Arabidopsis thaliana: one gene and its partners. The protein of the gene in region 1 interacts with the protein of each later gene in a pairwise test. Each region holds a gene or a part of one and is shown in the gene's direction. Other genes may lie near its edges. The genes, in order: RAC6, AT2G34150, SCAR2 and SCAR4.

Region 1 (4,467 bases):
TTTTTTCTAGTTGAAAAACCAAAGAGAGAGAGAGTCAGAGAGCTCAAAGTTCATCCAAAGTTAATCGAGAGCAAGTTTCATTCCTCTCAACAAAGTTCGTCCAAGGTTTCTCGTAGTCACTAGCCGAACTCTGCTTTTAAGATTGGTAAGAATTCTTAGATGTTTCCTTACTTTTCTACGACTTATGTTGTTGATCGAAACACTTTCATGGTCTATTCTTCTCACTAAAGTTTCGTCAGTTTCAGTTTTACGCATCATACTATTTTCACTTTGTCTAAACTCACATCTTCCTCTGTTTTCTTTTTCGAGTGTTCTTGCAGGTTTCTCTCCAAGCAAATAGCTAGAAATGGAAGGCTCATCAAGCTTCACTACAACCAACGCAAAGAAAGAAAAACAGAGAGCGTTCACCCAATTTCCCCGTGATTTCATTATATACTATCATCGTAATCAAGAACTCTGCTTTGAGACTCTGCTTTAGGGTTTGGTAAGAATCTGATGTTTCTCCTTTTTGTTTGACGAATTGAGCCGTGTATTTTCTGAAACATCTTGATTTTGGGAATTGTAGTCATAATGTTAAAGAGAGTTATTATAGTGTAATTTATCTTTGAGAAATTTCTGCCATCTAAACTGTTTCTGACAATTACAGGTGAGAGAGAGAAGAGATAAATGATCCGTCACAGTCACGACAAACGATCCACGGCAACCTTTGGCGGTGATAGCGGGCTTGTTGCGCCGGGGTATCATCTTGGACTTCCAGTTGACTACTCGCCGTGATGTTCAGGGTTAGTTTCATCAATGCTCTTCTTATATGTCTCTCTCAGTCGTTACTCTGTTAAAAGCCATATAATAAATCGTAGACTTGGTGAGTTATTTGGTCGGATTTTATAGATTAACTCTCTCATTCATCCATATGTAGCTCGTGTATTTATGATTTTTATGATTTTTTGTCATTGCATATTTTCAAACTTGTTAGTAATTTTGGAATGTTGATTTGATAAAACTGATTCCAACTCCACGAATCCTGGTTTATCAAAACTGTGATTGTATCATCGTACACACATCAAATAAAAACTTTTACTTTGAACATTTTCAAATGCTAACTTTTTCCGACAAATTAATTACATGGTTTGTGAAAGATTCCCAACTCTTAACGTTTTTGTTCTCGCTGTCGCAGGTTTTCTTATCAAGGAAGGTTACGTTGACCCGAATAAGTTCATTAGCATAGACATCTTTCCTCACGAAAGGCAAATATGACCAATGTTGACATTTTACATACTCGGTAAAATATTTGTTAGTTGAGATTATTGCAATTTTTGGCAGAAAATATTACCACACTTTGTTGACATACAAATAAGTTCAGGTTTGGTCCATACACCACATTCTCACTAGCCAACATGCAAATTCAACTAACCACATTCAATATCATCAAACATCCTTGAAATTTTAACATAAATTTGGCGAGTATGCGGAAGAACTAGTGCATTACAACTTTATTGTACCGCAATTGGCTGATTGGTTTCATAAATATTGAATCATAACTTAGAGATTTTTTCACATTTGGTGAGCATCCGGAAAAACTAGTAAAAAAATGAATTAGAATAGTAAAACAAATCGTACTAGAAATTTTACAGACAGTTAAAAACACGTATAATTTTAGCCAGTGTTAATTTTTCTTATTTGCATTTTAAACAACAAAGACAAAATACATTATGTGCAACTCCTTTATTTTACTTTTTTGTATACAAGATAAATAAATTAATTTGAATATACACTAAAAAATCAAACAGAAAAAAGAAGAAGAAGTAAAATAGTAATTATTTAAAAGACAACAGAAGAAGTAAAAAAAGTAAAAAGATTGCAAAACAGTCGGAAGGTTGAATGGCTGAGATTAATCGAACGCTTCAATGGCAATTATTTCCGGCCATCACTTTCTTCTCTACTTCTTTCTTTCTCTCTCTAGTTGTTGTTCTCTCTCTCTCTCGCATCCTCCAATTCATCGTCCTCACGTTCCCTTTTGTTTATTCATCTTCCTTCCTTCTTCACATTTCTGATTTTCTCTATTTGGGGGGTTTGTTTCCACATTATACATATCTAGGGTTTTGAGATGGTTAATTGAAAGATAATGGTCGAAGTTTCGGAGGAATTGGCTTCACATTGTGGGTGTTTCTGGCTTCCTCAGGTTTAAATCTGAGGTTGATCTCTTTTGTTTTTTGGTAAATTGTGACATATTTTGGCTCGAAGAAGAAGAAGAAGAGGCAATGAGCGCATCAAGGTTCATAAAGTGCGTCACCGTTGGTGATGGAGCTGTTGGTAAAACCTGTTTGCTGATTTCTTATACCAGCAACACCTTTCCCACGGTATTCATCAATCATTCTCCCTCCTTTTTTTGATATCTGATTCATTTGATTCTGATTGTGCCATATATGAATTGGGATCCATACATACTAAAAATGTTGTATACATTTCCATTGGAACAGGATTATGTTCCGACTGTTTTCGATAACTTTAGTGCAAATGTGGTTGTTAATGGAGCCACGGTGAATCTTGGATTGTGGGATACTGCAGGTAATGAATGATGATCCAATTCATAATCCTTGGTGAGAGAGCTTTCCTTGATGAATCGGTCGAAATTATGTTTTTGGTTTATGCAGGGCAAGAGGACTATAACAGATTAAGACCTTTGAGTTACCGTGGTGCTGATGTTTTCATTCTTGCCTTCTCTCTCATTAGTAAGGCTAGTTATGAGAATGTTTCCAAGAAGGTCAGTTTCGTCCGAACTGGTCGACTATTTAACAATTGAGAGTTCCAAATTTTGATGCTTCTTTTCTTTTACAGTGGATTCCTGAGTTGAAGCACTATGCTCCTGGTGTCCCAATTGTCCTTGTTGGAACCAAACTAGGTTACTTCCTCCTCTCACATTTGTCCTTGTTTATGCATTTATTTATATATATGTCTGATTCCCATGCTTACACTGCCATTTTCCTTTTCACTTTATTAAGCTGCTCTGGTATAATATATCATGACATTAGTGGACATAAAACTTCACCTTCTCTTGATTGTGGTTAAAACTTGTACATGTTCAAGATGTATTCGTTAGGTGAAACTGAGGGTAGTTTTCAGAGAATATCATTGGTCAACAGGCTTCTTCTTGTATCTTGCACTTCTTGTGATAAAGCAACCATATCCTATAACACACGCCTTTAAGCATCCTCCAATGAAATAGCTACTGTATAGCAAGTGTATACCTTTATAAAAGACACTTGCAAGATCTTCAGTCAACTCATGATCCTGGCCTTTTTGATTGTCTAACCTTGGTTGTTGTCAGATCTTCGAGATGACAAACAGTTTTTCATCGACCATCCTGGTGCTGTCCCTATTACCACTGTTCAGGTAAGAATACAGTTATTTCCTCAGTGCAATTTTATCAGCTTTACCACCGTTAAGCATTTTCCCTCTCTGCATGGAAGGGAGAGGAGCTGAAGAAGCTAATTGGAGCGCCAGCTTACATCGAGTGCAGTTCAAAATCACAAGAGGTAAACGAATAAAAGACATCTCATGAATCATCTTTTCGGTGTTGGATTCTTCATCTTTTGATGAAAACAATGTGACTATAACTGCAGAACGTGAAGGGCGTGTTTGATGCAGCGATCAGAGTGGTCCTTCAACCTCCAAAGCAGAAGAAAAAGAAGAACAAAGCACAAAAGGCCTGCTCCATCTTGTAATAGCACTCATGGAAGTCAAGAAGCTCTTTGAGATGAGGATGACAGGGTGGTTTAAAAAAGTATCGCTTTTTCATTTTTGTTGTTGTTTTCCGTTTTCATTTGTGATCTCTTAGTTCCGTACAAAACGAATTGTGAGGTTAATTCAACTTCTATTTTAACTGATAGCCGAGAAAGCTTGTCTAGTTATTTACAAATGTTTTATCAATTGTGATAATGTTACTAATCCACTTCACATGAAAATTCCATTTCGATTTCTCATTCTATTATTATAAGAACAAGAGAGATTGAGACGAAATACTGATATTACTATATTGGTTACCAACCGCAAAGAATAACAAACAGTGTGTTCTTCTTATACAACCTTGGAATTTTAAGGCTAAACCAAAAAACTGTCTGGTCCAGAACATGGATGTCTCGACCAGATTCCTTGTTAAAAACTTCCTGCTCTTTGATGTTATCAGAACGGGACTGTGTAAGGTAAGGCGTAGACATCAGCTTCTGGTAAAAGGCGAGCACATGGCCACCCCATTGTATTGCCTACTTGCTTGATCTCATTCTCTCTATTAAGTTGTTTGCATATTTCTGTGGTGCTACTTGGCGGCTTCTTCATGGACCACCAACATTCTTCATCTTCAGAGTTAATGAGGTCTACTCTTCTCTCGATCGTGTTAGGGACCCAATTCTCAACTACGTCCAAGAATTGCAACACCATGGATGGAGGGCAATTGCATAGGCTTTTAGGAGG
Region 2 (6,642 bases), on another chromosome or scaffold:
AGATTATCTTATTGGAAAAACCTGCCTCTCATAAAATCAACTAACAACATATTGACGTTTTCGAAAAATACGATATCTAATTATGGTATCATGTCTTAATCCGACACCGTACTGTATATGCCACGTTTCATCCAAGAACAAGGCATTGATGCCATCGATGGGTCATTGGACCAATTCTTGTTTTATATTTATGCAAATGATTAATATACTACTACTATATTAGTATATTGTTACTTATACTATTTTATATGTCAAATTATATGAGAATGCTAGTGCACCATTCGATGGTCTGATCTTTAATCAAAGCACATTTCGAGATTTACTATGATATAAAAAAAAACATGAGATGACCGCCAATTTTGTTTTGTTAACCAATTTCGTGTTTAAAATTTATGTATATTTTTCAGCAATGTTGTAGTTTTTATTTAAACCATTGAGTTTTGTAAGTGTCACTTTATTGACCGCCATTTTTTGTGAAGAGTTACTTGTGATTGATAATATATGATGGAAAACAATGCAATAGTATAGCTCATAGAATCTGCGTCAAAGATTACCATTAATGGTTGATAGGAGTAGCAAGTAACAACTTATAAAATATTTAATGGACAGAACAATTTAGGAGTAATAATAAATAATAAATGACATGTGATTAAATTTATGTTTAGGTAGCATCCATAAATAGACGACCAGCTAAAAGTCATGCATTGATCTAATCGCATCACTTATTTAATAATACTATACCTACCAAGGACCATAAGAATTGATTACTTCTAATACTGTGTATTAGCTTGTATGGAGTACTGGAGTAGTACTGTGGATCTTCGATCCATATGTCTGAACTGTAGTTTATAAATAAAATGTATTTATATGTTAGTATCAAGAAAAACGACAAAAGAATTCGAGTTGATAAATTGCTTTGGTTAATGGGAGCCAGATCCAAAACTCTAGAAGCACAGATCTAAAATGCTTGTGCATGATTTATTATTGTGTATATATGCCTAAACGAGGATGGAGTAAGTCACACATCCACATGCATGTGTGCAAGTCCTCAAGTAGTGTAAGATATAGATGTATGAATACATTCACCCACACGCGCACACACTACGCAGCGTGTGTAGATGGAAGATATTATGCAACTCTTGTAACATCAAACTTGATTGTATAGATCAAGGATGCGAGAGGCACACCATTACGGCAATACATACACTTCCGCTTTACTAGATTCATTATGAAAATCTTTGAATTGTACCATCATCATTCATATATAGTTGGTGTCAAAAACAAAAACAAATCACAGCTATAGAGTTTGAGTACAAGTGTTACGTATGTATTGATGCCTCATTTATGGGAGTTTTGTTCTCCAATAAATATGTAGCCAACTCAACAAGTCTATTTCCTCGCAAACGACCAAATTCTCATTCAATGATTCAAACTTTAACGCTATCTAAACTGTAACGCATTTCTATTTTATAATAGAAGTCTTCAAATGCTCATTCAATGATCCAAACTTTAACTTCTAGTTTTATACTCCATATTTGTGCAAAATGTATATGATATAATATTACAAGTAGTAGAAGTTTTTTGTTTTAGTAGCTAGTAGTAGAAGATTAAGCAGAGTAAGTTCTCATTAGATGACTTAAGCATACAAATATAGTATTACAAGTAGGGGTTATACACATGACTAAAAATGTTTATAGTTCTTTTTAAATAATTTATGTTTAGCACTAACAAATTCTTATAAAAACTAAAGTTTATTTTCGGGAAATTATGTAAGTAACAAATGACTAATTTGGATCATGATTCGCTCCATATGGGTAGGTTATGGGTACCTTTCTTTTTGCTCCAAGCCCTTTTTCGTAATTTTCTCTTAGCACTTTTAGTTAAAATGATGACATTGAAAAAGGGAATGGCTTGCGGTGTTAGCAATGTCTCCGAGTCTCTCTTTTCTCTTTTTACAACGAAAAACCTTTTTGTAATCTCCAAATTTTCCCTCTCTCTCTCGTTTCGGCGGTTAAGCTGCCATAATCTCTCACCCACCTCAAGCAACATAACCCACAAAAACTCAATCTTTGTTTCTTATCTTCAAAACCCATCTGATCATTCCTCCGGAATCTTTCTCAAGAACAGAGCAAATGCCGCTTGTTAGGCTCCAAGTTAGGAATGTCTACGGTTTAGGGCAAAAAGAGCTTCACACAAAAGTCGACCGTGAAGACCCTAAAGCGATTCTCGACGACGTCGCCGTTTCTGGACTCGTCGGGATCTTGCGTCAACTCGGTGATCTCACAGAGTAAGTAGTACTTTAAGTCAACTCTGTTTCCTCTGTTTCTTTTTTTTTATAATTGACTTATAAATGTTTTTAAAAAAAAAAAAATCTTAAGTAAAAATGTGACAATATGGAGTCAGTGATCTTCTTTGATTCTCTGTAAAATCTTTAATTTTGCTGTGTTTGGTCTTCTTCATTTGCTTATTTTATGGTTCTCAGCCAATCTTACTTGTCCTGAGTTTTTATGTTAAACTCACATTGTTTCAGATTCGCAGCAGAGATATTCCATGGAATACAAGAGGAGGTAATGATAACAGCATCAAGAAGCAACAAATTGAAGATGAGATTGAAGCAAATAGAAGCTAAAGTTCCTACAATCCAAAAGACAGTGCTTGCACAAACAAATCACATTCATTTTGCATACACTGGAGGTTTCTTTTGTCTTGTTTCTCTTGTCAATCTTCTTTAATGTCTAGATTCACATGTTTGTTCTTTAATCAAAAATTTATATCCTGTTGAGTTTATTGTAGGCCCTAGCTCACATGCCTTTTGCACTAACTTCTTAGCTTAAAATACTCTTTTTTGAGTTTAGAATTTGATGATGAATGATACTAGTAGTCTTTCTTATGGATCTTAATTAAATAAGTCATGATCTTTCACTATTTGAGTTCTTTAGAAAATTTAAGTATAGTTAATGAACATAGTGTTTACATGCTGTTTTAGGTCTGGAGTGGCATCCTCGTATACCAAATGTGCAAAATCACTTTATGTATGACGAATTGCCACCGTTTATTATGACTCCATATGAAGATTGCCGGGAACCTCCGCGGTTACACTTGCTTGACAAGTATATACACCTTTTAACTCTCATTTTCTTTTTTGTTATTACTGTTTCTGCTATGTTTTAGACTGATGATAATAAATATGATGCTGATTCTTAGCGGTTTTTGTCAGATTTGATATAAATGGTCCAGGTTCTTGTTTGAAACGATACTCGGATCCTACTCATTTCAAAAGAGCATCAAGAGCTTCTAAACCTTCAGAGATTAAGGTTTGTTTTAGAGATTCAGTCTGTTAATACCATGTTTTGTAGAGTTTCTTCTTTTTCTTGTTTGCTACCTAAACTTGTATGGATGATGCAGAAGAAAAAATCTATACAACGCGGTCGAGATATATCAAGACTTGCCTCTGTGGCTAACCAGAGTGACAGGTAATGACATTTGGATTTGACATTGTAGAGATGTTTTCATATATGACTCAAAACATGAATATATGATATGATGTTCAGGAAGACATGTACTTCTTTAAGCTTCAGTGGACGAACCTCTACCTCTAAAACTGCTTCAACGATTGAAATTGAGTCGAAATCCGACTTGCAAGAGCATCGTTCTTTCTCTTTCGATTCAAGAAGTGGTGGAGAGAAACCGAAGAGGGTATCTTCTTCTTCAAGGTTTACACCGGGTTCTCGCACCATTGCTTCAGTTCTTTCTGAAAGTGAAAGTGAAAGTGATAGTCCTTCTCAAGATTTAACAGCTCGTGGTTCTTCTAGTGTTAGTTGGCACGAGAAAGCTGAGATAGTGGAATGCAATGTTCTGCAGTGTGCAACAGATGAAGCTCCTGAAGTAATGGAAACTAACTTTGTCTTGGATGCTGAACCGGTATCAAGACTTAAAGAACATTCAGCGGTTGAAGCGGTCCAAGATATCAAACCGAAGGAACTGGAAATGGACAATGAGGATGAGACTGAAAGCGAAGGGGATGATTTTGTTGATGCACTTTACACCATCGATTCAGAATCTGAAAATGATGAAGCTTTCCAAGCCACTAAAGAGGTGCAGAAGAATCTTTACAATGATATTACAGAGCAAGAAACAGAGAAGATTTCTAACAACTTTAGTGTTGATGAGACAAAATGTGCTGCTACATCAGAGCTACATTTATCATCATCACCGGTATATAAATCTGATGAACTGATTCATCAAGATCCATGGGCGGCTTCGGAAATAAGTAGTGGCACTCATAGTTATTCCAATGGCTTCTCAAATCCTTTGTATGATATTAGTGGTATCCAAGAACATCAAGAATCAGAAGAAGTTGAGAGTTCTTGTGACACTGAATCCATTAAAACATGGACTAATGGAAATCTCCTAGGACTGAAACCATCGAAACCGAAAATTATAGCAGAAACTATTCCAGAGATTGTTGAAGACATTGATTCTGAAACCTTCCAAGAGCACTTAAGAGAAGATTATAAGGCTCCTTTTGATTGGTTTACTTCATCTCCTCCACTTGATCACATGAAAATATCTTTCAAATCCTCAGAAACCTTGCCAAGTTCTGAACTACAGCTAAAACTTCCAGATGAATATACATTTTCTTCGTTTCAGTTGGTGCCAGAGACTATTGCTACTTCACTTCCTGATTCTGATTCAGACAAGGACACTTTCTGTAGATCTTCTTCTTACATTTCAGACAACAGTGACAATGACAATCGCTCTGTGTCAATGTCTGAGCAACAGTGGGAAGAAGAATCAGAAGGTATCCGAGAAAGCAAGAGGCAACAAGAGCTCTATGATTCGTTTCACAGAGTCAATGCTGAAGCTTCTTCTCTACCAGTTCCATTTCCAAAGATTGAAACAACAAATGGTTGTTTAGTTGAAAATGTCTCTTACCTCCAAAATCCAGCTGAGCCATTACCACCGCCTCTCCCACCGTTACAGTGGATGGTTTCGAAAATACCGTCAGCTGGATTCGAGGATAACAACAAGCAGTCTCTAAAGGATGCTCTCACACAGGCATTTGAGAAGAACAACAATTCTTTAACTGCAGTCAAGAAAAAAGAACCACACATTGTCACTGTTTCTGATCCTAAACTTGTAACCAAGGTATGGAGAATTAAGTTTTCTTCTCCTTTTTACTGTTTTTTTTTTTTCATCTTTTTGGTATAAGGTATTTTATGTGATGGTTGATAGGTACATCTGAAGAACAATGTGAGGGATTATAAGCAAAGTCATGGCAACACAAATGAGACAGAAGCTGGAGACTTCTTGCATCAAATTCGAACTAAAGTGAGTCTTTTATTCTTGCTTTATATTTTAGCTATATAGAAAATTTCTGTGGTATATGAAAATGCATTCCCTATTCTATTAATTCAAAGTAACCTTTATTAAGGAACATATTTACATAATCGATAATTAAAAAAAAAAAAAACTCAAACCCTTAAAACTAAAAATATATACATTTGTTTTCGTATTTCATTTTTGTCCCGGTTCCCTCTTAATCGAAATGGAAATATATTTTGAACATGTTTTTAGTTTCGTTTGTATAGGAATGAAATGGGAGAAATGATTTTTTGATCCTCCAATTCTCATTTCTGTTTCCACAAAGTCATAAAATGCATTTTTCTTAACCAACAACAACCTTTTGAATCATAACAGCAATTCAACTTGAGACGTGTGGTCAGGACAAAGACATCATCATCAGAAACTACAATGAACACCAATATTAGCGTGATTCTAGAGAAGGCAAACTCTATCCGACAGGTTCCATACATTATTCACATTTATAATCTTACGTTTCAGTTTGCAAGTACCATTTTGGTCATTAAAGCACTTACATTTCGGACTTGTTATATCAGGCTGTAGCAAGCGACGATGGAGAAGGCGAAAGCGATACATGGAGCGATAGCGACACATGACAACATCATTCATTTCGGTTCTCATATGTTTATTGTGTAGTAGATATAGGTCGATTTTGTCGTACGTTTATATTTGTATCTTCAACAAAGAGATAAGGTTCTGAAAAATAAAATAATTATAGAATATGTTACGTCTGAATCTCTAGATGATTATTGATAATTAAACAAACAAAAGAACTGAATTAATTATTTTTTTAAACAAATTATTTAGGTATACATTAAAACGTGAGTTGGCAAATATAGGATCTTGGAAAATAATCATTAGTACTATATAAGTACCCGAAGCCCTAAGCCGTGAAATTCGCTGTGTTCTTTAATTTGAGTCAGTACTTGACACACTAGAAAAAAGATTATGTCCTTGTTTGTACACTTCTTTAAATATTTTCACTTTCTATCTGATACAACAAAAGATAAGCATTTTTTATTTTTTTTTGATCAAAGATAAGCATTTGATATGCTTCTTAGTTCTTACAATTTCACGAGAATTATTTTATACATAATGAATTTCGTTATTAAAGTTAAATTTCTTAAACTTTTATGTTCGGAAAAATTATTTCTAAAAGAAAGAGAATCAGAAATTATTTTGATTGGATCACTAGAGCAAAGCAAAATTGGCGAGACAGCCAGATTTACCAAAAAAGATGCAACCACAAACACTAAAAAGTCTAAAATCAAGTGGGTG
Region 3 (7,923 bases), on another chromosome or scaffold:
CCACCTTAAACCGCCTTTTACATTTGGATCAACAGTTGCTGATTCCAATAGCGCTTTAATGTCACCTATCTCTTTATCCTGCCGATCAAAGAAAGATCACACAACCTAAGTCTAAGAAGAGCATATTATTTATCCATATATTGTAAAATATATATACCAAACTTGAACTTACACTGAGATACGTTATTTCCCTCTTAGCGGTGAGCGTTAGTCTCATGTCGAGATTCTTATCAATGCATGACACATCAACAACCAAATGCCTTACAGGATTAAGGTCGACCTATATAAAAGCAAAACTCAAGATTCAAAGTTAGATATTAAAGGAAGACCAAGTAAAAATGTGACATCTATCAAATTCTTGTTTGTTTTTCTTGCTAGTCCGAGAACAATAAAGAAGAGATTTTACTATTGGTTGTAGTCACTACACACATAAAACTCGAGACTTGCCTTGTACATACTGAGCCGTCCATCTTCCTTACGGGTACATTTACAGTTGATGGTTGCATTAGGACGAGAATAATGCGATACCTAAAAATAGAAGCCAAACCCAAATTAGCACATTCAAATGACATTCGAAGTATAGATCTAAATCTAAGAAAATGAAACGAGTACCTTCACAGTGTATGTTTCCTTCTCCTTATCAATAGAGAATCCATGGCTTGGTACAACATTAGATTTTATGTGTTGTAAGTAAGACATTGGGAGATCAGTAGAGAACATCTTATTCAAGTTTTTTAGTGAACATTCAGCCACAGGACCAGCTTGACTCCTGGTTTAAAGTTGTATATGTTAGAAAAAATATAAACCCATTCCTGAAAACAGCAAAATGTGAGATCAGACGGTGAATCGCTTACCCATAGAAGAAAATTTTACCAAACCGAGCAACCAGTCTCGATACATGATGATGCTCCTTCATTTCAGTCTTAACTCGCTCATATGCCAACACAAGATCCTCCATAACCTTCTCAGCTACTAATAGCCACTGAGTTCTCTCATCCTTCCTCTCTCCAATATTCATATTCACTGAATATAAACATATAAAAAACCATACTCAACATAGATACAATGCATCTTCTTTTGGCAAAAACGATAATAGCACAAACAAAATAGTTAATAGTATTGTTTATTTCAGCATCTAGATGATATTCATTTTGTCAAACACATAGCCAAAGTCTACTAATAGTTTCTTACCATTTTGGACATTGTTGTTCATCAGTATTGAAGGCTTTTCTCCTTTTCTACACTCGACAGAATCTGAGGACAAGGGCACAAACTTAACATACGAAGGAACATCGTCCTCAATTCCATTTGAACCAACAAGAAACCATTTGGAAATGGAATCTCCTGAATAGATAATCTTGTTGCGTTTAACACTGCTAGTGCTACTCTTAAAGTCAAGGTTCTTCTTGAATTTTGTAACAAGAGAATCTGGAACAGGGGTAGGCTTTGTCGGATCCTTCGAATGCCTCTTATGTGGTGGAATATAAGACATGTCTAAACCTGAAACTCACAACAACATCAACCAAAAACGATTTCAAGATAAAACAAAAAAATCTCAAACTTGGAGCTCAAATAAGAATTGCTTTACAACGAGCGAAGAAGAATATAAAGACAGAAACTTTAAGGTGAGAAGAGAGAAGTCGAATCATACCTGTAGGCTGTAGTCGAAACTCAACGTCTTTTAATATTCCTGCAGAGAAGTAACAGTGACACTCAAATAGACTCTTCGCTCCCTTTTTAATCTTTCAATTAACTCTCATCCGTTTCTCAAAAATGACTTTAATTAGATTGTGTTTGGTTTCGATAGGGATCACAATTGGACAAACCTCAAGCCTGAAACTATCAGGTTCCCGAGGGGTTTGGTCTTAAATGCAGGTTTTATTGCAACAAGGTTTTGGTTTTGTAAGAATTTTTCACTAAAAGTAACAATTTTTTAAGTATTTCTGGCTATCGAAAAATAGAAAAAGAAATGTTTTCTTAAAAAGTCTTTTAGCGTTGAGGTTCTCAGACTCTCTCTCTCTCTCTTTGCCCCTACCTATATCCGCCGTCTTGAATCCACAGAAAGTCCGTTTTAGTTTCCAGCTAAGTGATGTCGTCACATATCTAATGGTGGTCGGTCACTACTTAAATGAAGACAGAGAAGCTTTTCTAGTCTTCTTCTTTCTAAAGTTCTTACCTTTAGAATTTGAACAAAAGTATCAGCGAGCTGATCAGACAGAGAAGCTCAAACAATGCCGTTGACGAGGTACCAATCTCGTAACGAGTATGGATTAGCAGATCCGGATCTGTATCAAGCTGCTGATAAAGATGACCCTGAAGCTCTGCTTGAAGGAGTCGCTATGGCTGGTCTCGTTGGCATTTTGCGTCAACTCGGTGATCTCGCTGAGTAAGTTTCTCTCCAATCGAAATTTCTCTAATTGATCTCTAAGCGCATCGAATTCGAAGTTTTGGAATCCGTTGTTGTAAAGCGACAATTTTGATGAATCTGGATTTGGTTGTGGAAGTGGAAAAAGTTTTGATTTTTTGATGGAATTGTCTTTAAATTCATGTAATTTGTGATGAAGGTTTGCTGCTGAGATGTTTCATGACTTGCACGAAGAAGTAATGGCTACTGCTTCTAGAAGCCATGGTTTAATGGCTCGTGTGCAACAGTTGGAAGCAGAGTTTCCTTCTATAGAGAAGGCATTACTGTGTCAAACCGATCATTCGCCGTTTTTCTCTAACAAAGGTTAGATTGCTATGAACATTCATGATCTGGTCAGCTACTATGATGTTGGATTATTTCAACATGATTCTGTGACTCTATTTCAGGTGTGGAATGGCATCCGAATCTACAATTGGAACAGAGTGTGGTTACAAGTGGTGACTTACCTCGTTGTGTGATGGATTCTTATGAGGAATGTCGAGGTCCTCCAAGGCTATTTCTTCTGGACAAGTATGATTTAGCCTTGTTTGATAGGACTTCTTCTTTAGTCGTTTGTTAGAGAAGGATATATGTAACATCTTCTGATGGTTTTGATTAGGTTTGATATTTCCGGAGCTGGGGCTTGTTTGAAACGCTACACCGATCCATCGTTTGTTAGGCTTGAAACGTCTTCATATGAAGAATCATGGGATGATATTCAGAGAGAGAAAAAATCACAGAAAGCAAAGGTACTAGCTTCTTAGTTCAGGTTGTAGCTTATGGGTTGCAGTGTGATCCTTCTTGGTTATATTTTGGTTTCCATTACATGGTAGATTTTCTGAATAGTAGATTTTCTTATGCTCATGGTGTTTTGAATGTGTAATCTTACCTTCCATTTTGTGATTCTCATAGTTTTCCTTCTATTCTCTTGTAGAGGAGAGCATCTCAGTGGAGGAATGGAGGGACACCTGAAAATGCATTATCATCACATGCCAAGTGAGTATTATCTATTTTATGTCTTGTGTGTTTGTCATTTCTGTTATGATATATATGTAGTTCCTATATTGGTATCTGACTGTGACTAAAAATGGCTGGTTTCAATTATTCAACTGGCACAGATTGCATGAATTGTTTTTGGAGGAGCATTTAGAGGCTCATCATTCAGATCCAGCGCGCGTTGTGAAGTTGAAAACCAGAAAGCTAGATGGGTGTTCCCTTATTTCAAAATCAGGGGAAAGCTACATGGAGAAATTTGTGCAGACACGTGTAGATAGTAAGATAAGTTATGAAATAATTACCCAAAACCCCGGATTGTTGACATGGAATATGGATAGTGCTAGAGATGTAGTAACCGATATACCTGAAATCAGTATGGTGGGTGCTATGGATAAGTCTCATGGAGGAAGCAGAGCAGAGGTTTCATTCCCAAGTGAGCAGGAAAATGTGGCAAATGTTAACATGAATGGGGGTTTTATTGAAAAAGATATAGAGACAGTGCCTGAATCTACATACAATGAGGTCCGTGGAACAACTATTACACAGGATTCACAAACGGTTTTGAACGGGAAGCCAGGATTTTTTCAACAGAGGAGTTATTCTGAAGATTTAACCAGTGAGGCTGACAATTATGTGGACGCACCAGCCACCATGGAGTCGGAAACAGAAACAGACGATGAGTGTAGACCTAAGAGTAGATCAGATACTTTGAAGGATGGGAACCATCATATATATTCTGATGCGGTTGAAGAGAGAATGGAGGACCCACCTCAGTTTTCATTTTCTCATTCAAATGGAAACACACCAGTTTCGGAAAATGGGCGAAGCTCGTTTGGGAAAAAGAGCACTAGTTATTCTTACTCGGACACTGCAAGCATATCCATTGATGATCAATCTGATGGAGAGAAACTTTCGGGATGTTTACCTTCTACTTCTAGTTTTAAGAGTGAGTTGGTGGATTCTATGTCTCACGTTACTCCTGAAGCCAACAAAGTGTCTCATGACTTGAATGTTCAGGAATCAGTTAGTAGCAGCAATGTAGATGGCCAGACATCATTAAGTTCGAATGGTACATGTTCAAGTCCAAGGCCAGTCTCTCAGAATGATCAATCATGTTCACTGACAGTTCAATCTTTAGCATCAGAAGTCGTTGAAACTTCTCCAGAACTTGTTAGGCTTGATCTAATGAAGGGAGGCAATGATGGAAGAAAGGTGGATCCATTCGATTCTTCAAAATCTTGTGCATCTTTTGATGCTAAAAACTCTGACTTGCCTTCTGAAACTTCATCAATTAGTTCAACTTCTGAAGGAAGCAGATGTGATAGTACCATTGAGAAGAACTGTATGGTTGCTTCAAATTTAGTAAACTCAGGCACTAGTCCTCAAGCGTTTGTTGATAGTCAAACTGGTAAACAGTTACCTATCGCTGATACTGATTTTGAGACAAACTCTATAGTTGCTTGTTCTGAAGTTTTAGCAAACTCAGGCAGCGATCCTGAAGAACGTGATGGTCGTTGCCTAACAGGAAAGCTGGTACCTTGCTCAGCTGGGGTGGGGATGGAAGTTTCCCCTGATACGCCCTCTAAAGTCTGTGGTCCAAGTTCAGCTGATGGAATTCACTTAAAAGATACTCTGGATGATGAAACCGATTGTGTTTCAGTGACTAATGTTGTTGTTGACGTTGATTCTAAAAATTCTGTTGCCGACGTTGGTTCTCAAAGTTCAGTTGCTGACATTGATTCTCAAAGTTCAGTTGCTGAGATCTCCGATGAGCATTCATGTGCCTTTGGCAACACGGCTGATGTGTCTGTTTCAGAGTCCCATGAAGACACACTAGAGAATGGAATGTCCGTGCCTTCTGATTTTAACTCGGGAGTAGAGAAATTGGCGGGAGATGCTTCACCTACTTGTAGCAAATGCGATGACCATATCTCTCATGAAGGTTTTCATGACCTTTCAGGGCTGGACAACGCAACCACAGACATTGTCCCGAACGTTGAGCTTGATGTGTCTGATAATGACAATGACACTTCCAGTGGTGGTGTTAATCATGCCGTTAGTCTGTCATCGACTCGTGGGAAGGGTTCTCTGCCTTGGATTTCGACCAATACTTATCAATCGTCTTCTGATGCTGGAGAGATTTTCCATGATACAGTTGTAGAGTCTGACGGGACACTACTGGAAGACAATAATCCAGAGTCGGAAATAAAAATGCATAAAAGCCCTCTGGAAGTGTCTTCAGAAGGTCTGAGTACTGAACCAGACAACAAGGACGTAGAAAGTATTGAATCTACAAGTCCCAAGCCATCTCTGGATCAAAGGAACAGGGACACAGAAACCAAATCTCCTGGTGAGAGCATTCTTGATGATAATTGCATAGATTCCACACAAGTGTATAATCTGAACCTTTTAGAGAGTGAGGCTATCGACCAGGCAGTTAGAGAGCAAACATCTTATGCAAGCCATGAAGTTGCAGATGAGGAATTGCTGCAGTCAAATGTTTTCAGGGGCTTAGAGTTTGAACCACAATCAGCAGGCTTAGAATTTGCACCACAATCTGCAGGTATAGAATTGAACAGACCTAAGCAAGAGTTGAATCTGGATCCTACTTTTCCTAGCTTTGGTTTTATCCCTGAGACTATTCCGCCCAATCCAGAGGACATGCCACCCCTTCCTCCTATGCAATGGCTTATTGGAAAGGTTCCACATTCTTTTCCTACCTTCATGGGGGAATCAGTCGAAACCAGTAGTTCTGCTTTATCAGCGGCACCACCCATTGGTTCTAGCTTGAATGTTCAAATTGGGTCTCCACCATCAGAGCTATCTGTATCTTTAGGAAGTGACGAATCAGAACGACTTCCTGGAGGGTTTGTTCACAATGCATCAGAAAAGCCATTGCAATCATCCATTCAGTTCCCAACCATGAGCACTGATTTGAATAGTCAATACGACAGTTCTGAGCTCCCTACAATACCTTATCAGGAGTGCATAGAGGATTTTGGTTCTGAGGAGAACAATCTTTTGGCTGACCATGCAGCTCAGAACCACGAGCTCGTTTACTCTCAAGCGTCGTCATTGCAGCTGCCTCAGGTTAAACACGAAGATTTCAAGGACGATGCTGATGTGCATGAATCTCAAAGTTCAAGCGATGATCACCATTGTCCTGAAACCAAATCCCTGACGCCAACTCAATCAACAAAGGTAGAAGATAAGGGTCATTCGGTTCCTGATGCTTCAAATGCAGAAACTGCAGAATCATCAAACACGTCAGTTCAGAAGATAAATCCTGTTTCAGTGGGAGATGCTATGTGGCCTGTTAGCTGTTTCTCTGTGGCACCTACCTTGGACACATATAAGACAGAAGTGGTCCCTACGGTTAGGCTTCCTAGGCCAAGAAGTCCGCTTGTCGATGCTGTTGCAGCTCATGACAGACGCAAGGTACAAAATTTCATCTTGTCTGCAATACCATGCCTTTGCTAAGATTATGTCTCTAATCACTTGTTCTGATGATTTGCCAGATGAAGAAAGTCTCTGAGATGGTCCATCCACCAATCAAATCAAAGCAAGATGACAAAGATTCGTTGCTTGCACAAATACGAAACAAGGTAGCACATGTTGATCATGTAAAATCCCAGATGGTCCTGTGAACAGAATTTTGTATTTGGAATTTTATGAGTTGTGTTTTGTTTATGCAGTCCGTCAATCTAAAGCCGGCAGTAACAACACGACCCAGCATCCAGACTGGTCCTAGAACAGACTTAAGGGTAGCTGCAATCTTAGAGAAAGCAAATACAATACGCATGGTTCGTTACTCTCTTTCCATCTCCTTCAAAGATAGTAAATGTTTTCAAGTTTTTTCACCTTTTTCTGTGGTCCTTGCTAATCGTAGAGGCTTCATGTCAAAGCATTTCAATTTGACATGAAAATCTGAGGAGTTTAGTCTCACATTATGTCTTAGATTGGATCCGAAGCAGTCTCTTAAGTGGAAACAATGAATTATAAGCCTGATCATAGACCAAATAAAATATCACTTTTTCTCTATCGCACACACATCTAAAACCGGTTGAACACTGGTGCAGGCAATGGCTGGAAGCGACGAGGATGAAGATTCAGATAGTTGGAGTGATTCTTGAAATCGATGATCGTTGGCTTTTCCGTGGTGTTCGTTCTTGTATCATGATGAGTGCGCAAGCACTTGGAGTCAGGTAGGTTATACAATCTCTATTTCAGACATATAACATTAAATACATACAGTCATTGGTTATTTATATATGTATGTATGTATATTGTGTACTGTTTTATAGGTGTGTGTATGTTGTAATGTAAGTAGATTCCGAAATTTGCAGTAGTTTTACGGAAATTTGTGTGTAGGAATGTTTCGTTCTTTTTTTTAGCTCATAGAACATTCTTTTAGTAGGCTATGTATGTGTATTTGAATACATACATAGATATGTATTGTGTGTTCTCAATCATTTGCAGTGTCCTTTGACTGTATATTTGGTCATTTGGATAACGAATATCTA
Region 4 (7,264 bases), on another chromosome or scaffold:
AGCCAAGCCACGAGTTCTGGTTTAGTATAAAAGTTAGTATAGGTTAATTTGTTTTTTCTTTTTTTTTTAACACCATCATTATACGTATAAATAAACATAAATACAGTCACAAGCGCAAACATGTAAAACCAAACTTTTCATTTTATATGATATTCACATTCATAGCAAAAAACTACTATACACGATTGAATTTCTTGTTTAAACTTTGGATTGAGTTTCTTGTTACATCTAAGGTTCTCAGTGTAATGAATTCTCTACGGTGCACAAGTTTGTAATCAATACACTTGGATCAATAGCCGCTGGACTCAACTACATGATCTCTGGTTTATTAGAAAAACCAAATGAGATGCAATTTAGTTTGGGATTAAAACAATGAAGAGAAACGTGTGCTGGGCCATAAGTACACTGCATGTATATCAAAGTTTGATCAAGTGTCAAATAAAATGATACAAACAAGACACATACATAAAAATTGGAATTTAATTGCGACGTCCTGGTTAAGTGCACCTTGTGGAATGTGTCAGTTTTTGATTGGGTCTCAGCCTTCCTTTGGGGTCGACTCACCTCTTCCTCCTTTCTCTATCTTGTACCAATAATCTCTTCAGAAACTAATGCATGTATAGGAAACGGGGATATATATCAAAATAGTTGCTCGTATATGATTTGTCGTCCACACAAAATGCGTCTCATTTATTACAACATATAAATGAAAGAAACGCGTCTAATACATGAGAGTATGATTATAGCTAAAACAAACTAAGCTTGTAATAGTAATTCTTATATAAACCATCCCTCGCCATAGAATTTTGAACCTCGAAATCACTAATTATCCAGCCATTTCTGAGCTGTATTTCAAAATTGTGGGTTTTATATATTATTAAGATATATACAAAATTATAAGGTCAGTAATTCTTCTTTGATCGACCAATGTAGAAGGGGCAGGTACCAAACACAAGCCTAGGCATAGTGATAACGTTTGGTGACCTGTTTCCATCGTACTCAAAAACGACCTTTGCTCAACTTGATACGCTGCGTTTCATTTATTCCTTGCTGTGGATTTTAGCATATTTATCCAGCACTTTAATATGGGTCATGGAATGGGCTCATAACAGTTTACTGTCTTCTATTAGACTCAAATAAGTCCATCAGGCCCAACCATTTAAGGTCGTCATTTGATGTTTGACTTTTTAACGACACATCATGCACGACGAATTAAGCTCATTACATAACATCAGGATGGTAATAACAATCTACCAAACCATACTTTATCATATAAAGAATATATACTGTATGCGTTTATATATTTAACATTTACTGGAGTATTTTTTGGCCCAAAAATAAATGGAGTAATCATTTAATCTTTCCTTGGAAGCCTTGCGTGATATTAGTGCTTTTGATTTGAACTGCATTATCAAATAAATTTAAAGACATACGAAGAATTGAATAGAAGAATGTATTCTATGCTAATAAATCGACGAGAAATATATATATAATTCCCACTATTTGATCACTATTGGTAGTCAATAATATAAAAAAAGAATTATAATTAAAATAAAAAACTTAGGTGAAGGTGGATGTAACGATCAAAAGCAGGTTGAATACACTAACTGATTTCAACCACAACCACTTGTAGACAATATACTTGTAGTACAATATAATTGATTTGCAATAATTATAATACCTTATGATTCTAAGCAAAGTTTGTCCATCTTTAAGCATGGATAATCAACGGTTTTAACTACTTTCATGTTCACCGGTTGAATAAATTATTTTACCTGAGGTTCTGATCACATGCGGCAACCACACGGTGAGGCGATGATTATAACCGTTGGATGAATGTCACGGACCGTTATATAAATTCCACCACTCTCGCGTCGTTAAAATTAATTAAAAATCTATAAAGGTAAAAGATTTCATCTTTCTCCTGACGCGTTTTGGCGGTTCGTTCTGCACAGTTTCTTCTTCTGATGCTCTTTTTTTGTTTTTAAGAATTAAGGGTTTCTACTTTAATCGATTGGAGCACAATGGCATTGACGAGATACCAGATACGGAACGAGTACGGCTTAGCGGATAAGGAGCTCTACCAATCCGCCGATAAGGAGGATCCTGAAGCTTTGCTCGAAGCTGCTTCCATGGCTGGTCTCGTCGGCGTTTTGCGCCAGCTTGGCGACCTCTCTGAGTATGTTTTTTTTTTTTTTTTTTTTAATTCAATTTCGGTCCAATATACCCTACCGTTTGAGGAATTTTACTGTAGAGAATGGGACACTGAAGGTTCCGTGGAATTGAATTTCGATGCTATATACTCTGAATCTAGAGAAAACCTGAATCTAGGGTGGTCTCTTTGTTTTTTGCTTAAAAATCTTATTCGGTGTAGTTCAAGTTTCTTGTGTGCTGATGAGATGATTTTTCTTCTTTTGGTTATCTAATTCTAATGAAACCTCTATGTCGCTATGGAATCAATCCCTTGGCATTTATGTTCTTTTGTCTCTTTTCATACTAATAAGGTTTGCTGCTGAGGTATTCCATTGCCTGCATGAGCAACTAATGACAACTGCAGCACGAGGTCATGGTTTGGCGATGCGTCTCCAACACCTCGAAGCAGACTTCCCTTCAGTTGAGATACCCATTCTCTCTCAAACCGATCATTCTACATTCTTTTATGAGCCAGGCCAGTCATCTATCTTACTCTAATGTTTAGTATAAGAGATATAAGCTGCTATTGGTGATCCCAAGCACTGAATTGTTAGTTAGGTCCTCAGGCTTGGAATGGCATTCTGATCTGCAAACAAAAGAAGACTTGATTTCCCCACGGAACTTGCCTCGTTGTATAATGGATTCGTACGAGGAATGCCATGGTCCGCCGCAGCTTTTCCTTCTCGACAAGTACATTTCAGTATATCATGAGAATTTTCACCATAAGGAAATATCCATTTGCAGTTTTTAATCATGTTTCTGCTGTTATTCAGGTTTGATGTTGCTGGGTCTGGATCATGCTTGAAGCGTTACTCTGATCCATCTTTATTGAAGACACATACTACATCAGCAGTAGTAGCAACATCCAAACTCGGGAAAGATAAGCGACTACGTCAATCAAAGGTATTCAATCATGTTACACATTTCCTAATTCTGGTTTTACTATGCCCACTCTGCCACTGTCTGTAAAAATAAGCATCTGAAAAATGCACATTTGGGTATTATGTGTTACATATGATCAAATCTATTTCAAATACAGAAGAAAGGATCTCACACAACTATTAAAGAGACGCCTGAGGATTCACGGACATCACATGCCAAGTGAGCACTCTTGCTCTATATCTACTTCTGTTTCTGTCATTCCTATGTCTAAAGTTCATATATGTGATCGGCACTTGATTTGGTGACATGAGCTACTTTTTGGATAGTACAGGTTGCATCAGCTATTCTTTTTGGAGCATGTTGAGAACGGACACAGAAATCCTGAATTCCATGTGAAACTGAAGAGAAGACAGCTGAATGGACCTCCGATTAACTCAAGCTCTGGGGCAAGTTACATGGAGAAATTCCTCAAGAATTCTTCACCATACTGTGAAAGAGTTCATGGGACTATGGATCAGTCATCTCCGGCAATGGAAACTGAAGTTACAGTATGCAGTGAACAAGAAGACTTACCAATACCTTCCTTAGTTTATTCCAACAGTGGAGGCACTAGAAAATACAATGAGATGGAGATAGAATCCATTGCTGGTCATGAAATACTTGAAATTCCTTTTGTTCCTCACGAGATTACGGTTAATGAGAAGTCACCAGTGGTTTGTTTAGAAAGTAGCTCTTCTGTGAATTTGTGTTGCAAGACGAACAATGACGCAGATTCACCTGCTTCCACGGAGTCAGAGGTAAAGGAAGCAGGGAGTGATGACAAGGCTGGATGTGACCATGGATTTCCAGGATTTGGTCAGCCGCAGATCTGTACTAATGCAGAAGTGAATCAAACAGAGGTTCTGACTCAGTTTTCTAATGTTTTGCGCCACTCACCGGAGGAAGGAGAATCTAGTCTTTTGTGTACTGATATCCAGAGAGCTTCTCCTGAAAGTAAACCACATAAAGCTGAAGAGGCTGCTGTAGATTTAGACGAGTCATTTTCCCAGATGACACCGGACATAGATTCCGCAGGCATGGGGACTCTGGAGATCTTACAAACACCTTTCAGTTTGTCTTGCTACGAGAGTCCTGCAAATCTTCCCGAAGATTCTGGAAGTCACTTGGAGCTTCAGTCCAATAAAGCAAATGCTGAAGCTTGTGAGGTCTTTGAAGTCAGAAGGGATCCCATGCTTAATATTTCCCCTGAAACTCATCTTTTAAAGGTTACACAAGTGCCACAGGACGCATATGAGGGTGGGACCAATGATGTTCATTCTCAACATGTTTTCAGTGTGGAGACTGCATCTGAGATATCTGTAAGTGCTTTAGTGGAAGACCAGTTCTCTTCCATAACCAATCAAGAGATAGAGGCTCTGGAATCCGAGGACATTTCTTCTGAAGCTGGTCATTTCATTCCAGATACCAAAAAGAGTTTAAATGAAACATCAGTGGCATTGGAGTCCGATTTTCTTCTTCCAAATCATTACATTAGCACATTTGACAACTTTGAAGATTTATCTCTGTCTGCTGATGCACAGGATTATGCTGCCCCAAAAGAAGATGAAACGAACTCCCAAGACGGATCTTCCATGAATCCTGCACAGTCAAAACACATTTCAACTTCTGAAATCAGTTCAGAAAATGGAACTCTGATGTCAGATACTCCAAGAGATCTTCACACAGGATACGGGAGCCTCTCAGCCTCATCTTGTCTGGAAGACGGATTGGCCAACCCTGATCTGGCTGAGATATCATCATATTCTGGACAGGAGGATCCACAAACCATGTCTATTGTTTCAGATGATAGTAGTGACCCTGAGGTACCAATTCCTGATGGTACTTGTTTTGCAGGTGATGTCGATCACGATAACCAGACTGGCCTGAATAATAAGGCCATTGAGACCGTGCCCCAGAAAGAATTGGAAACTATTAGTGATCCACAGGAGAGTCTTTTAGGTACAGAAGAATGTCTTTCATCTGAGTATTGCTTACAGATACAGAACCAAAGGCAAGAAAGTCCATCAGAAACAGGGTCAGCAAATTCAAGAACATCATCAGACGAGTCTCCTCCTACACAAAATGGATCTGTTGGTGTTCAAAGTTCACCTTTAGATGTTTTTCCTTCAAGCATAACTGAAATAGAAGCTCTTCATGCACCATACCAGGAAATTTTCACATCATTAAATGATCATATCTCTGAGTCTGTTCTTTCCAAGGGTCTGACTGATGAAGAAGATTTCTTGAACGTATCCCCTGAGTCCATACTACCCCTCTCCACGTCCCTCCATGAAACACCTCAGGCAAATCCGGAGATAACACCTCCGCTTCCGCCTCTTCCTCCGACACAATGGTGGATGGGGAAGCTGGTTGAATCAACCGAAATGCCATCACTTGCAGGCAGTGGAAACAACAGTTTCAACATCCAGAGGGATGAAAACACACAGAATGGATCAGTTCAAGCGAACGAGGCACAATATCCATCAGAAGTGTCGGTTACAGATGGTGAAAACCATAATTTTCATATTTATACAGAAGAATCTAAAGCAACCGAGGAACAGTCTCCTTCAGGAGTCAATGGGACAAGCGACACCTATATGGAAAGTAAACACAAGTGTTTAAATAGAACTCCGGAGGATTCATTTTCTTTGGCAGAATCGGCCCAAGGCTTAGAAGCTGACTGGAGGACTGAAGCAATGGCACTTGAATGGTTTAGTCAGAACTTAAGAGAGCATAACAATCCCCACCCTGCAAAGTTAGAAGAGGAAGAGCCTCAGGTTGATCACCCACTAGAAAAACCTGGACAAACCAAATTTCGACAAACCTTGCGAGACAATAACTCATATAATCAGAATCAGAAAGCTGGAAAGCTTAAAAGAGACGAGGATACGCTTGTTATTGGCATTGACAGAAGCATGGTTAGTACTTCAATGGCTTATTTTTCTCTTCTCTCTCTCACGCGTTAATCATGAGACTCAATTTGTGTTTGATTACAGTTGAGGAAAGTATCTGAAGGGAACAGGACACACGTTGGAGCTCGAGTGGACGAGAATGATTCACTACTAGAGATCATACGGAGCAAGGTCAAATCACCATTTCATCTTTTCCTTTTCACTTTATTCAGTTTTCTATTATAGAACATTTAACTTGAAAAAAACTTTAGCAGTCGTTCAACCTGAGACCAGCAGATGCCTCAGGGAGACCAAACTTTCAAGTAGCTGTTCCCAAAACCAACTTGAAGGTGGCTGCAATTCTAGAGAAAGCCAACACTCTTCGCCAGGTCTCTCCCTCTCTCCTTCTTGGTTAAATTTGGACACTTGATATAATAATCTGTTGCACAAAGAAAAAGATATAATAATCTTGGGGATCGATAAAGTGGTTTTGTGACATACATATAAATAGGCAATGGCGGGAAGTGACGACGAGCACGATTCAGATAGCTGGAGCGAGTGAGTCGTTGAATCAAATCTGCAGGTAACAAACATATAGATCACACTCTGTATAGAAGAATTCTCACATTGTATGTATTCTCACAAGTAATGTTTTTATTGCTGTATTTTTGACACATTGTAAGTCACTCTGTTTTTTTCCCCTTTATATGTACACCCAATTTTACCCTCTTTTAAAGGGAATCAATCCAGTTGATGTTTCAGCATATTTGCATGTTTGATCTTTTCACATAAACAAATACTTTACATAAGTAAAAGTAAGTGTTATAGGACTTGTAATTTACATCAAGATACATTTTAAATTCAACCTTCATCAGTGCATATGCACAAATCAACAAGTATGATAAATACTGATAGTAGATGAAAAACGATGTTGGAGAGCAAAGTATTTTTAAAAGTCAAGAAACGCTAAGTTTTTGTTATGACTTCTCTGATTTGTTCAAACTTTTTGAAATTTGAAGTGTGAACTGGAATGCTACTAGTCGTCGTTGGAATATTTAGCCACGTAGTGTATGTCTGAGTCTCCTTGAACAATCGTTTCCAAGTTGAAAAAAGAAAAGAAGTGATAATAAAAAGTCAAGTCTAAGAGTTGAATTGTCATCAAAGTACGATTAGTGGAAGTGGTACGGTATACGTGTAAACGATCCTAGGAATATTCCGTACGATATCCGGCCTAACACGGTCAAGAGTCATAACGTCTC

The links.
Region 2: the proteins of RAC6 (region 1) and AT2G34150 interact in a two-hybrid assay, tested with the Arabidopsis thaliana proteins (one study listed by BioGRID).
Region 3: the proteins of RAC6 (region 1) and SCAR2 interact in a two-hybrid assay, tested with the Arabidopsis thaliana proteins (one study listed by BioGRID).
Region 4: the proteins of RAC6 (region 1) and SCAR4 interact in a two-hybrid assay, tested with the Arabidopsis thaliana proteins (one study listed by BioGRID).

Annotation. Positions count from the first base shown.
Region 1 is NC_003075.7:17,023,306-17,027,772, reverse strand, and holds RAC6 (RAC-like 6), read left to right. Parts: upstream 1-1,906; 5' UTR 1,907-2,258; coding exon 2,259-2,357; intron 2,358-2,477; coding exon 2,478-2,565; intron 2,566-2,651; coding exon 2,652-2,761; intron 2,762-2,835; coding exon 2,836-2,899; intron 2,900-3,325; coding exon 3,326-3,390; intron 3,391-3,467; coding exon 3,468-3,533; intron 3,534-3,620; coding exon 3,621-3,722; 3' UTR 3,723-3,936; downstream 3,937-4,467. Other genes in the region: AT4G35940 (uncharacterized protein), read right to left, coding at 4,180-4,467. UniProt on the Arabidopsis thaliana protein: May be involved in cell polarity control during the actin-dependent tip growth of pollen tubes.
Region 2 is NC_003071.7:14,418,750-14,425,391, reverse strand, and holds AT2G34150 (SCAR family protein), read left to right. Parts: upstream 1-1,920; 5' UTR 1,921-2,132; coding exon 2,133-2,287; intron 2,288-2,530; coding exon 2,531-2,694; intron 2,695-2,700; exon of another isoform or gene 2,701-2,986; coding exon 2,987-3,110; intron 3,111-3,217; coding exon 3,218-3,314; exon of another isoform or gene 3,315-3,345; coding exon of another isoform or gene 3,346-3,405; coding exon 3,406-3,473; intron 3,474-3,551; coding exon 3,552-5,148; intron 5,149-5,235; coding exon 5,236-5,331; intron 5,332-5,700; coding exon 5,701-5,805; intron 5,806-5,900; coding exon 5,901-5,960; 3' UTR 5,961-6,129; downstream 6,130-6,642. UniProt on the Arabidopsis thaliana protein: Involved in regulation of actin and microtubule organization. Part of a WAVE complex that activates the Arp2/3 complex. Regulates trichome branch positioning and expansion.
Region 3 is NC_003071.7:16,093,319-16,101,241, forward strand, and holds SCAR2 (SCAR homolog 2), read left to right. Parts: upstream 1-1,916; 5' UTR 1,917-2,231; coding exon 2,232-2,386; intron 2,387-2,564; coding exon 2,565-2,728; intron 2,729-2,811; coding exon 2,812-2,935; intron 2,936-3,023; coding exon 3,024-3,153; intron 3,154-3,338; coding exon 3,339-3,400; intron 3,401-3,522; coding exon 3,523-6,838; intron 6,839-6,918; coding exon 6,919-7,005; intron 7,006-7,095; coding exon 7,096-7,203; intron 7,204-7,479; coding exon 7,480-7,533; 3' UTR 7,534-7,903; downstream 7,904-7,923. Other genes in the region: AT2G38430 (uncharacterized protein), read right to left, coding at 1-78, 173-280, 448-528, 613-769, 855-1,023, 1,192-1,492.
Region 4 is NC_003076.8:272,322-279,585, reverse strand, and holds SCAR4 (SCAR family protein 4), read left to right. Parts: upstream 1-1,699; 5' UTR 1,700-1,903; exon of another isoform or gene 1,904-1,989; 5' UTR 1,990-2,024; coding exon 2,025-2,179; intron 2,180-2,504; coding exon 2,505-2,668; exon of another isoform or gene 2,669-2,759; coding exon 2,760-2,883; intron 2,884-2,966; coding exon 2,967-3,096; intron 3,097-3,159; exon of another isoform or gene 3,160-3,232; coding exon 3,233-3,294; exon of another isoform or gene 3,295-3,406; coding exon 3,407-6,032; exon of another isoform or gene 6,033-6,110; coding exon 6,111-6,197; coding exon of another isoform or gene 6,198-6,251; exon of another isoform or gene 6,252-6,280; coding exon 6,281-6,394; coding exon of another isoform or gene 6,395-6,421; exon of another isoform or gene 6,422-6,516; coding exon 6,517-6,567; 3' UTR 6,568-6,754; downstream 6,755-7,264. UniProt on the Arabidopsis thaliana protein: Involved in regulation of actin and microtubule organization. Part of a WAVE complex that activates the Arp2/3 complex. Regulates trichome branch positioning and expansion.